Linked DNA regions of Arabidopsis thaliana. The protein of the gene in region 1 interacts with the protein of each later gene in a pairwise test. Each region holds a gene or a part of one and is shown on either strand. Other genes may lie near its edges.

Region 1 (5,101 bases):
CAAAGCTTATATATATATCTTACGGTTTCTTATGTGGTTGCAGCAAGTGTATGATTATGATACATTTTCTGCTGATGACATAATGGGAGAAGCAGATATTGATATACAACCTTTGATAACATCTGCAATGGCTTTTGGGGATCCAGAAATGTTTGGGGATATGCAGATTGGGAAATGGCTAAAATCGCATGATAACCCATTAATAGATGACAGTATCATTAACATTGTTGATGGGAAAGTGAAACAGGAGGTTCAGATCAAGCTTCAGAATGTAGAGTCTGGAGAATTAGAGCTAGAAATGGAATGGCTGCCACTTGACCAATAAGTGTCATATAGGTCTCATAACCTTTATAAATGTACTGATTGATTTAATTCTTTGTTTTTTTTTTTTCTCTCCATTTGTTGGAAATTTTCAAAAATCTCTTTGCATTTTTTTCCTCATTTCAGAGGTAAATGTATTTTGATGTTTGTATAAACCAATGGATTACTATATGATGTTTTGATTGATGGAAAAAGGGTGAAATATCCACTTATGTAACATACACTTTCACTTGTGATCATCAATTTACTTGAGAGTCGTTTCTTCAAAGTTTCAAACTTTCCACAACAGAAACTCTACTTAAGATGATCAAGGCATTGTCAAATGAAATGCTTTGGAAGGAAGAAACTGCCTCTCCTTCGTTAAACCAAGCTCAGTATCTTGCAGTTTCCTCTCATCAGACATATCAATGCTTGGACAAAGGTACGAACCATTTTCTACATTTGTGGGACATTACAGGCATTTCTTAGCAACAACGAATGTTCATCATACTCAGAACCTAAAAGATTAACATGTTCAAGCCATCCTTAGAACCCAACAGCTCAACACTTTCGCTACATCTATTACTAGAGGCCAACAATTGGACTATTTACAAGTTTCGCAGAACTGCACTAAACAGAGTCGAGTCACTTTGCAGGCGTATTAAACAAAAGAAGCACAGATAATAAAAACGAAGCGATGATAAAGAAGAAGTTCGACTTGTCATTAGAAAGAAAGAGATAACAGGAACGGAAACATAGTAGAACACTTATTCATCAGGGATTATACAAGGCCCCAAAACACAAACCACCAAAGTTTTACATGAAACGAAACATTGAACTTCTTAAGCATAACAGAGACGAGATTTAGAAACCACCACGAAGACGCAGGACCAAGTGAAGAGTAGACTCCTTCTGGATGTTGTAGTCGGCCAAAGTACGTCCATCCTCAAGCTGCTTTCCAGCGAAGATGAGACGCTGCTGGTCCGGAGGAATACCTTCCTTGTCCTGGATCTTGGCCTTGACGTTGTCAATGGTGTCGGAGCTTTCCACTTCAAGGGTGATGGTCTTTCCGGTCAAAGTCTTGACGAAGATCTGCATACCTCCACGCAGACGCAACACCAAGTGAAGGGTCGACTCCTTCTGGATGTTGTAATCCGCCAAAGTACGACCATCCTCCAATTGTTTTCCGGCAAAGATCAACCTCTGCTGGTCCGGAGGGATTCCTTCCTTATCCTGGATCTTGGCCTTCACGTTGTCAATGGTGTCAGAGCTCTCTACCTCCAAAGTGATAGTCTTTCCGGTGAGAGTCTTCACGAAGATCTGCATACCTCCACGCAGACGCAAGACCAAGTGAAGTGTGGACTCCTTCTGAATGTTGTAGTCAGCCAAAGTTCTTCCATCTTCAAGTTGCTTTCCGGCGAAGATCAATCTCTGCTGGTCCGGTGGGATACCCTCTTTGTCCTGGATCTTGGCTTTCACGTTATCAATGGTGTCAGAACTCTCCACCTCCAAAGTGATGGTCTTTCCGGTGAGAGTCTTCACGAAGATCTGCATACCTCCACGCAGACGCAAGACCAAGTGGAGTGTGGACTCCTTCTGAATGTTGTAGTCGGCCAAAGTTCTGCCATCTTCAAGTTGTTTTCCGGCGAAGATCAATCTCTGCTGGTCCGGAGGAATACCCTCTTTGTCTTGGATCTTGGCTTTCACGTTATCAATGGTGTCAGAACTCTCCACCTCCAAAGTGATAGTTTTCCCAGTCAACGTCTTAACGAAAATCTGCATACCACCACGGAGCCTGAGAACAAGATGAAGGGTGGACTCCTTCTGGATATTGTAGTCAGCAAGAGTTCTGCCATCCTCCAACTGCTTTCCGGCGAAGATCAGCCTCTGCTGGTCCGGAGGAATACCCTCTTTGTCTTGGATCTTGGCCTTGACGTTGTCGATGGTGTCAGAACTCTCCACCTCAAGAGTAATCGTCTTTCCCGTTAGGGTTTTAACGAAAATCTGCATACCACCACGGAGCCTGAGGACCAAGTGGAGGGTGGATTCCTTCTGGATATTGTAATCAGCCAACGTACGGCCATCCTCTAGCTGCTTGCCGGCGAAAATAAGCCTCTGCTGATCCGGAGGAATGCCCTCCTTATCCTGGATCTTGGCCTTAACGTTGTCGATGGTGTCGGAGCTTTCCACCTCGAGGGTGATTGTCTTTCCGGTGAGAGTCTTAACAAAGATCTGCATCTGTTAATCAGAAAAACTCAGATTAATCGACAAATTCGATCGCACAAACTAGAAACTAACACCAGATCTAGATAGAAATCACAAATCGAAGAGTAATTATTCGACAAAACTCAAATTATTTGAACAAATCGGATGATATCTATGAAACCCTAATCGAGAATTAAGATGATATCTAACGATCAAACCCAGAAAATCGTCTTCGATCTAAGATTAACAGAATCTAAACCAAAGAACATATACGAAATTGGGATCGAACGAAAACAAAATCGAAGATTTTGAGAGAATAAGGAACACAGAAATTTACCTTGATCACGGTAGAGAGAATTGAGAGAAAGTTTTTAAGATTTTGAGAAATTGAAATCTGAATTGTGAAGAAGAAGAGCTCTTTGGGTATTGTTTTATAGAAGAAGAAGAAGAAAAGACGAGGACGACTAGGTCACGAGAAAGCTAAGGCGGTGAAGCAATAGCTAATAATAAAATGACACGTGTATTGAGCGTTGTTTACACGCAAAGTTGTTTTTGGCTAATTGCCTTATTTTTAGGTTGAGGAAAAGTATTTGTGCTTTGAGTTGATAAACACGACTCGTGTGTGCCGGCTGCAACCACTTTGACGCCGTTTATTACTGACTCGTCGACAACCACAATTTCTAACGGTCGTCATAAGATCCAGCCGTTGAGATTTAACGATCGTTACGATTTATATTTTTTTAGCATTATCGTTTTATTTTTTAAATATACGGTGGAGCTGAAAATTGGCAATAATTGAACCGTGGGTCCCACTGCATTGAAGCGTATTTCGTATTTTCTAGAATTCTTCGTGCTTTATTTCTTTTCCTTTTTGTTTTTTTTTGCCATTTATCTAATGCAAGTGGGCTTATAAAATCAGTGAATTTCTTGGAAAAGTAACTTCTTTATCGTATAACATATTGTGAAATTATCCATTTCTTTTAATTTTTTAGTGTTATTGGATATTTTTGTATGATTATTGATTTGCATAGGATAATGACTTTTGTATCAAGTTGGTGAACAAGTCTCGTTAAAAAAGGCAAGTGGTTTGGTGACTCGATTTATTCTTGTTATTTAATTCATATATCAATGGATCTTATTTGGGGCCTGGTCCATATTTAACACTCGTGTTCAGTCCAATGACCAATAATATTTTTTCATTAATAACAATGTAACAAGAATGATACACAAAACATTCTTTGAATAAGTTCGCTATGAAGAAGGGAACTTATCCGGTCCTAGATCATCAGTTCATACAAACCTCCATAGAGTTCAACATCTTAAACAAGAATATCCTGATCTGAAGAATGTGGAGGCTTTAGTCCCTTGGATACTTGGGAGGCTGTGGAAGAACAGAAACGAGCTGGTGCTTAAAGGGAGGGAATTTGGAACCAATGAGGTATTAGTAAGGACACAAGAAGATGCAGATGAGTGGATTAGAAGGAAAGAGGCTCAGAATGTAAGGAAAGCACCAACCACAACACCGTCGGGACAGACGAGAAACATGGGAAGCTCCACCACAATCTTGGGTTAAGTGCAACTTTGATGGGGCATGGCCAACAGAAGGATTAAAATGTGGCTTAGGGTGGGTGCTTCGCGATCATACAGGGAAGGTGTTATGGTTAGGTGCAAGAGCTGTGGTAAAAGTAAGAAGCGTGCTGGAAGTAGAAGTGGAGGCTCTTAGATGGGCTGTGCTGTCATTATCCCGATTCAATTATAGGAAGATCATTTTTGAGGTGGATTCTCAGCAACTTGTGTCTTTGGTTACATGAAAGTTATGCTTGTCAAGTCTCAATCCAATTATCCAAGACATAAAGTATCTACTTAGCAAGTTTGAGGATTTTATGCTTGTGCATACAAGCCGAGAAGGAAATGGAGTGGCAGATAGAATAGCTAAGGAATCTCTTTCTTTTGAGAATTATGATCTAAAGTTGTATTCTATTGTACCAATTTGGGTTAAAAGCTCTGTTGAGCTAGACTGTGTATCCATAAATGGGTGAATGGAAAGTTTGTTGTTGAGCCAAAAAAAAAAAAAAAAAAATCATCAGTTCATCATATTGGTAGTCTTGTTTGATAAGTTCTGCTTTTTTTACCTTCCAGTTTTGCCATTTGATGTTGCAATGAGATTTCTTTTGCTAATGTTTTAAAATAACAAAGTTGTTGCTGCTAGTGTTTCCAAGTTGTGTTTGCTGAAATTAGGGTTTGTAACTTATAAGAGAAGCTTGATCGCTGCTTTCGACTAAAGGGAATTCAATAACAACAAGTTTACTTGAAGAAAAATATTAAAACCTAGAAGAAAAGAGTTACACCTACAAATAGGATAAAATCCACATAAATTTCTGTTACTAAATGTATCATAGTTTTGTTTCTTCTATGTATCTACATATACTCAAAAATTTCAAAGCATTGTGACTTAAGGGCCAGAAGAAAACTTGAAGAAAGATTAAAACCTATTAGCAAAGAGTTAAAGATCCACATAACTTTCTGTTGCTGAATGTATCATAGTTTTTGGTTTCTTCTGTGTCATATATACAGACTTTCTACAGAACTTTTTGAG
Region 2 (4,893 bases), on another chromosome or scaffold:
GGAACATGTCGGAATCATTGATCCCAAAAAACTCAGTTTTGAATAAAAACATTATTATAGATATTCCGGATCACTTACTGCTCCTCCATGTTCTGAAAATGTTATTTGGTCCGTTTCCAAAGAGGTAACTATTAATTATTTTCAATCCCGTCCATTTGGTTTATATATATATAGCTATATAGTTTTTCATTTCAATCTATGATTATGTTATTTTAAATAAATTACCTAGTTAATTAATATAGCAATGTCTTATGTTGTAATAAACTTTCAGATTCGCACTGTGTCAAGTAAACAAGTGAAGCTTCTCCGTGTGGCTGTACACGATGTAAGTTTCTTTCTTCTTTTTCTGATTTATTATACAGTATAACAATATTAGCAAACTATCATATTAATACTTATATAAATATCTGAATTGCATATTTCTCAAGATATGAGTCTGTAGAGCATAGATGAGACTACTTATGGTCTATATAATATTCAAGATAAGACCATCATGTTTTATCATCCAATTGATTTCTTACTTTTCAGTTTTTGAAAATATTTTACAGGCTTCAGATTCAAATGCCAGGCCGCTTCAAGCAGTCAATAAGCGCAAGGTATATTTATACAAACCAAAGGTTAAGTTAATGAAGAAATACTGTAATATAAGTTCTTACTAGTAATCTTTAATTCTTTATATATGTACATTATGAATTGTACACTAAAATGATGTTTTTAGGGATAAACTGATGACTTGGTTTTGTTATTTAAAAATAGTCTCCCACTCGTGTTATATAAAATGGTTTTTATGTTACTTATTTATAAGCAAACCCTCTTTACCTAAAGAAGGGTATGAAACAACACAGTCTCAATTTCAATTCTCTTGGTAAGTGCTAACTATTAGTGTTATGTTAGGGATCAAATTAGTTTCAATTCTCTCAGATTCAGTTTATGTGGTAGTAGGGCACATAAGTTAATGAGCGCATGAAAAAACCGAGAATTGATCACACAAAATTTCTAGCTCATACATCTTCATTAGCCTTTTGTTTAGAGCAATCCTCTTCTGTCTAAACAGTGAAGATGTGAAGTCATGTGTAGAAACCACCATTATTTAAAGACGAGTCAAAATTTATTGGAAATTTTTCACAAACGAAGCTAAAACTACAAAAAAAGAAAAAAAATCAGACTTACCTCGGCTCTAAAACTTTACCAGTACCATATTCGGGATGGTGAACCACAACCGCGCTGGAATGAACCAAGTTCAATTTTATCGAGTCTTGAAACTCTCGAATGGATACAATATTATGGAACAAAAGAAGAGAAACAAGTAGCTGCATTCATCTTAAGAAACGCAAATTTTTCGAAGAAGCAACTTTCTCATCTAAACCCACCGATCATAACAAGAAATCTAAGATGCTTAAAAAGTTGTCATCATCGCCTATCTGTTCTCGTACTTGTCAGCTTCTATTTCTTTGAAACTATGGTCAATATGTCAAGTAACAATCATCTTTGTTTGGTTGGTGCATGTATGATTTTGAAATCTTAGTTAAGCTATTGGGAGACGTTATCATGTTGAAAACTATTCAAGTCCTGATATTTATCGTATCATAAAATAGTGTGTAAACACATTATTGAAGAATGTAACTAACGGATATATATACACTCAATCTGAAAATAAAGTTCACGCGTCTTTAATTTTCTTTAATCTAAGAAGTCAACATCAAACGAATATTTACATATAATTTACATAGAAGAAGATACTACTTGATATTCTCAATGCAACTAGAATATACATACAACTAGTCAATATAATAAAACCAAACAAGTAGTTATGAAAACTCGATTAAACGAAGACCACAGGCGTTGAATCAGCTACTGGTAGATTAGTAATAAATAAACCTCAAAATTAGTGAAGGAAGCAAAATAAAAGACTATAATTAACAAAAAGTCTTAAAACTTGATTAATAATTAAATGAAAGATTAATAAAATGCTAATTAAGAAAAGGACATAAAGTAAGAGGAAACAAGGAACGAGTTGGGGGGTTAGAAGAGGACGTGGTTGGGTTGTTTTCTTTTGTTTTGTTTCCTTCCACTCTTTCTTCTTCTTCATTTCCTCTTTCTTTCTTCTTCCTTCTCCATTTTTTCTCTAATCGTTGGACAAAAAAGATTGAGCCTTTTTCTGGGTTTTATTTTCTATAAAGGAATCGAAAGAAGCAAGGACAGATTTTAAAAAAAAAATCTTGGGTTTTCAAGAAAAAGTAGAGACATTTTAAAGGTATGATTTTTATGTTTGTTGTGGGCATGTAAATTTCTGGGTTTATCTTTGTCTCATGTATTGTGTTTCTTTATTTGAGAAAATTTATGACAAAGGAAGAAAACAAAAAGCTAGAAATTTGATTCCTTTTTAAGGGTTTTGTTTTCTCTCTTTGATCTTTTACAAGATTCTGGGTTCTTCAGATGTTTTTCTCCTTTTCTGGGTTTAATTCTTTTTGGGTTTTATCCAAATTTATGTAAAAATCTTGACTTTTTCCTCTCCTTTTTCAAAAGATGTTCTTGTCTGAATTTGATTGGTCAAAATCATTTAATTTGGATTATTAATGACAAAATCTACCCATTTAGATTGATACTTGTATAAAAGTTATAACCTTTGAGGGTCTTAGATCTGAAATTTAAAACCAAATTGGTAGATGATAAACAAAATTTCTAGGGTTTCATTGTGTGTTCTTCTTGTTTTGCAGAATCAATAGATTTGTGGGGGTGAAGTAAGGAACATGGAGGAAACAATGGCAGCTAGGTATTGGTGTCACATGTGTTCACAAATGGTGAATCCAGTAATGGAATCTGAGATCAAATGTCCCTTTTGCCAAAGCGGATTCATCGAAGAAATGAGCGGTAATGGCGGTGGAGGTGGTGGCAGAGGCATAAGAGATGTTCAAGATTCAGAAACCGATTTTGGAACAGACCGTGCATTGTCTCTATGGGCACCAATCTTGCTTGGAATGATGAGTAGTCCTCGAAGACGAAGAAGGTTTAGAAGATCAGAGTTTGGTGAAGAGAATGATGATAATGGTGATGACTTGACTACTAATGCTGATGGGAATGGGAATGATAGTAACAACAGTAATAATAACGTGTATCGTCATCATCGAGCTAGGAGACATGGTGGAGAGATTGATTTAGATAGAGAGTTTGAATCTATCTTGAGGAGAAGACGAAGAAGCTCAGGGAATATATTGCAGTTGCTTCAAGGGATTCGTGCAGGGATTGCTTCTGAGTATGAAAGCTCTGATAACAATTGGGATAATTCTCGAGAGAGGGATAGAGTTATAATGATTAATCCGTATAACCAATCGCTAGTTGTTCCTTCGGATCAGAATCAGAATCATCCTTCATTGACTTCACTTGGAGATTACTTCATTGGACCTGGTTTAGATCTTTTGCTTCAGCATTTGGCTGAGAATGATCCTAATAGGCAAGGGACTCCACCTGCTCGTAAAGAAGCTGTTGAAGCTTTACCAACGGTTAAGATAATGGAACCTTTGCAATGTTCTGTTTGTTTGGATGATTTTGAGAAAGGTACGGAAGCTAAAGAGATGCCTTGTAAGCATAAGTTTCATGTTCGGTGTATTGTTCCCTGGCTTGAGCTTCATAGTTCTTGTCCTGTGTGTCGTTTTGAGCTTCCTTCTAGTGCTGATGATGATGATGAGACTAAGACTGATTCCGAGAGAGTGCTGAGAACAAGAAATGTTCGGGAAACGAGTAACGGAAACGTTGTTGAGAATGTGGGAAATGCGGATAGAGGAAGAGAGGATGAGGTGAGGAGTGGAAATGGGAGACGGTTTTCGTTTCCATGGCCGTTTAGTGGATTGTTCTCGTCTTCTTCTTCTTCGTCTTCTTCAACCTCTGGATCTCAATCTGGTGAGAACAATTTCTTCTCAAGATCTTCTGGTTCTTCTCGCTGAGAGCAAAACAATCAAAAACTAAAACATCTTGGATTTTGTTATTGTTCTTCATCTTTTGTTGTTCTCTCATTTTTCTAGCTATTGAACTTGTTATTTCCTCTGCATTTCATTCTCTGCTTTACTGTACATAGAAATGATGTTCTTTCACTCAGACTGTTGAAAAACAAATATCCATTGTTGGTGTACAGAGATGATCAAATTTCAGTTTCCATTGTTTTAGTTTTCAAGTATGAAATTATCTGTCAATCGAGTCCAAATAATGACGAAATATATACAATGATTCAATCTTTCATGTTTTTGTACAGAGATGATCAAATTATGTGTGTCCATTATCTTTGTTTTTAAATATGAAAATTATATTTTCAGATGAATCCCAAATAATGATGGGAATTTTACAAAAATGGAGATAATGATGAGTCTTTGTCGGAATGATTTTTGTATGGGACGATTCATGCGCTGTCTTCTTTTTTGTCTTTCATGTCCCTGTCATTGTAAGATTATAAGAACATGAAACATAAACATATTTTCACCATTGTATTGGCGTATACATAAGAAATACTTGAGAAACAAAAAGAAATCATGATAATTGATACGTGTATGAATGATCCAATAGGTTTCAATACAACCAAAATATCCCAAAAGGAGCTGTTAAGTGGATTCACCGGTCACAGTAGTTGTGGTAATAAGCAAAAAATAGAACTTGAGTTTTCTATCTCAAGATTTTAATCACAATCTTGAATAGTTTCATAATAAAACGTTTAAAGTAGCGTTCCCCAAACGCCAAAAACGTGAATTTTTGAGTGGAATCATCACTTGACGGTCAAGATCTTGATCACGGAAGCATTACCGACTCGGAGTAGAGCAACAACGGAATCTCCAGTCTTGCATAGCTCTTTCTCTTTCCCGTACTGAGTAGCAAACTCGATAGCTTCTTCTGTTGATTCATCGTGTG

What was found.
Region 2: the proteins of UBQ10 (region 1) and ATCRT1 interact in a two-hybrid assay, tested with the Arabidopsis thaliana proteins (one study listed by BioGRID).

Annotation. Positions count from the first base shown.
Region 1 is NC_003075.7:2,715,996-2,721,096, reverse strand, and holds UBQ10 (polyubiquitin 10), read right to left. Parts: upstream 3,121-5,101; 5' UTR 2,843-3,120; intron 2,555-2,842; exon of another isoform or gene 2,539-2,554; coding exon 1,165-2,538; 3' UTR 789-1,164; downstream 1-788. Other genes in the region: AGD13 (ARF-GAP domain 13), read left to right, coding at 44-325; AT4G05310 (Ubiquitin-like superfamily protein), read right to left, coding at 5,085-5,101. UniProt on the Arabidopsis thaliana protein: Ubiquitin exists either covalently attached to another protein, or free (unanchored).
Region 2 is NC_003076.8:22,815,504-22,820,396, forward strand, and holds ATCRT1 (RING/U-box superfamily protein), read left to right. Parts: upstream 1-1,976; 5' UTR 1,977-2,254; intron 2,255-2,717; 5' UTR 2,718-2,750; coding exon 2,751-3,941; 3' UTR 3,942-4,227; downstream 4,228-4,893. Other genes in the region: ACA8 (alpha carbonic anhydrase 8), read left to right, coding at 1-7, 272-325, 549-659; AT5G56350 (Pyruvate kinase family protein), read right to left, coding at 4,751-4,893.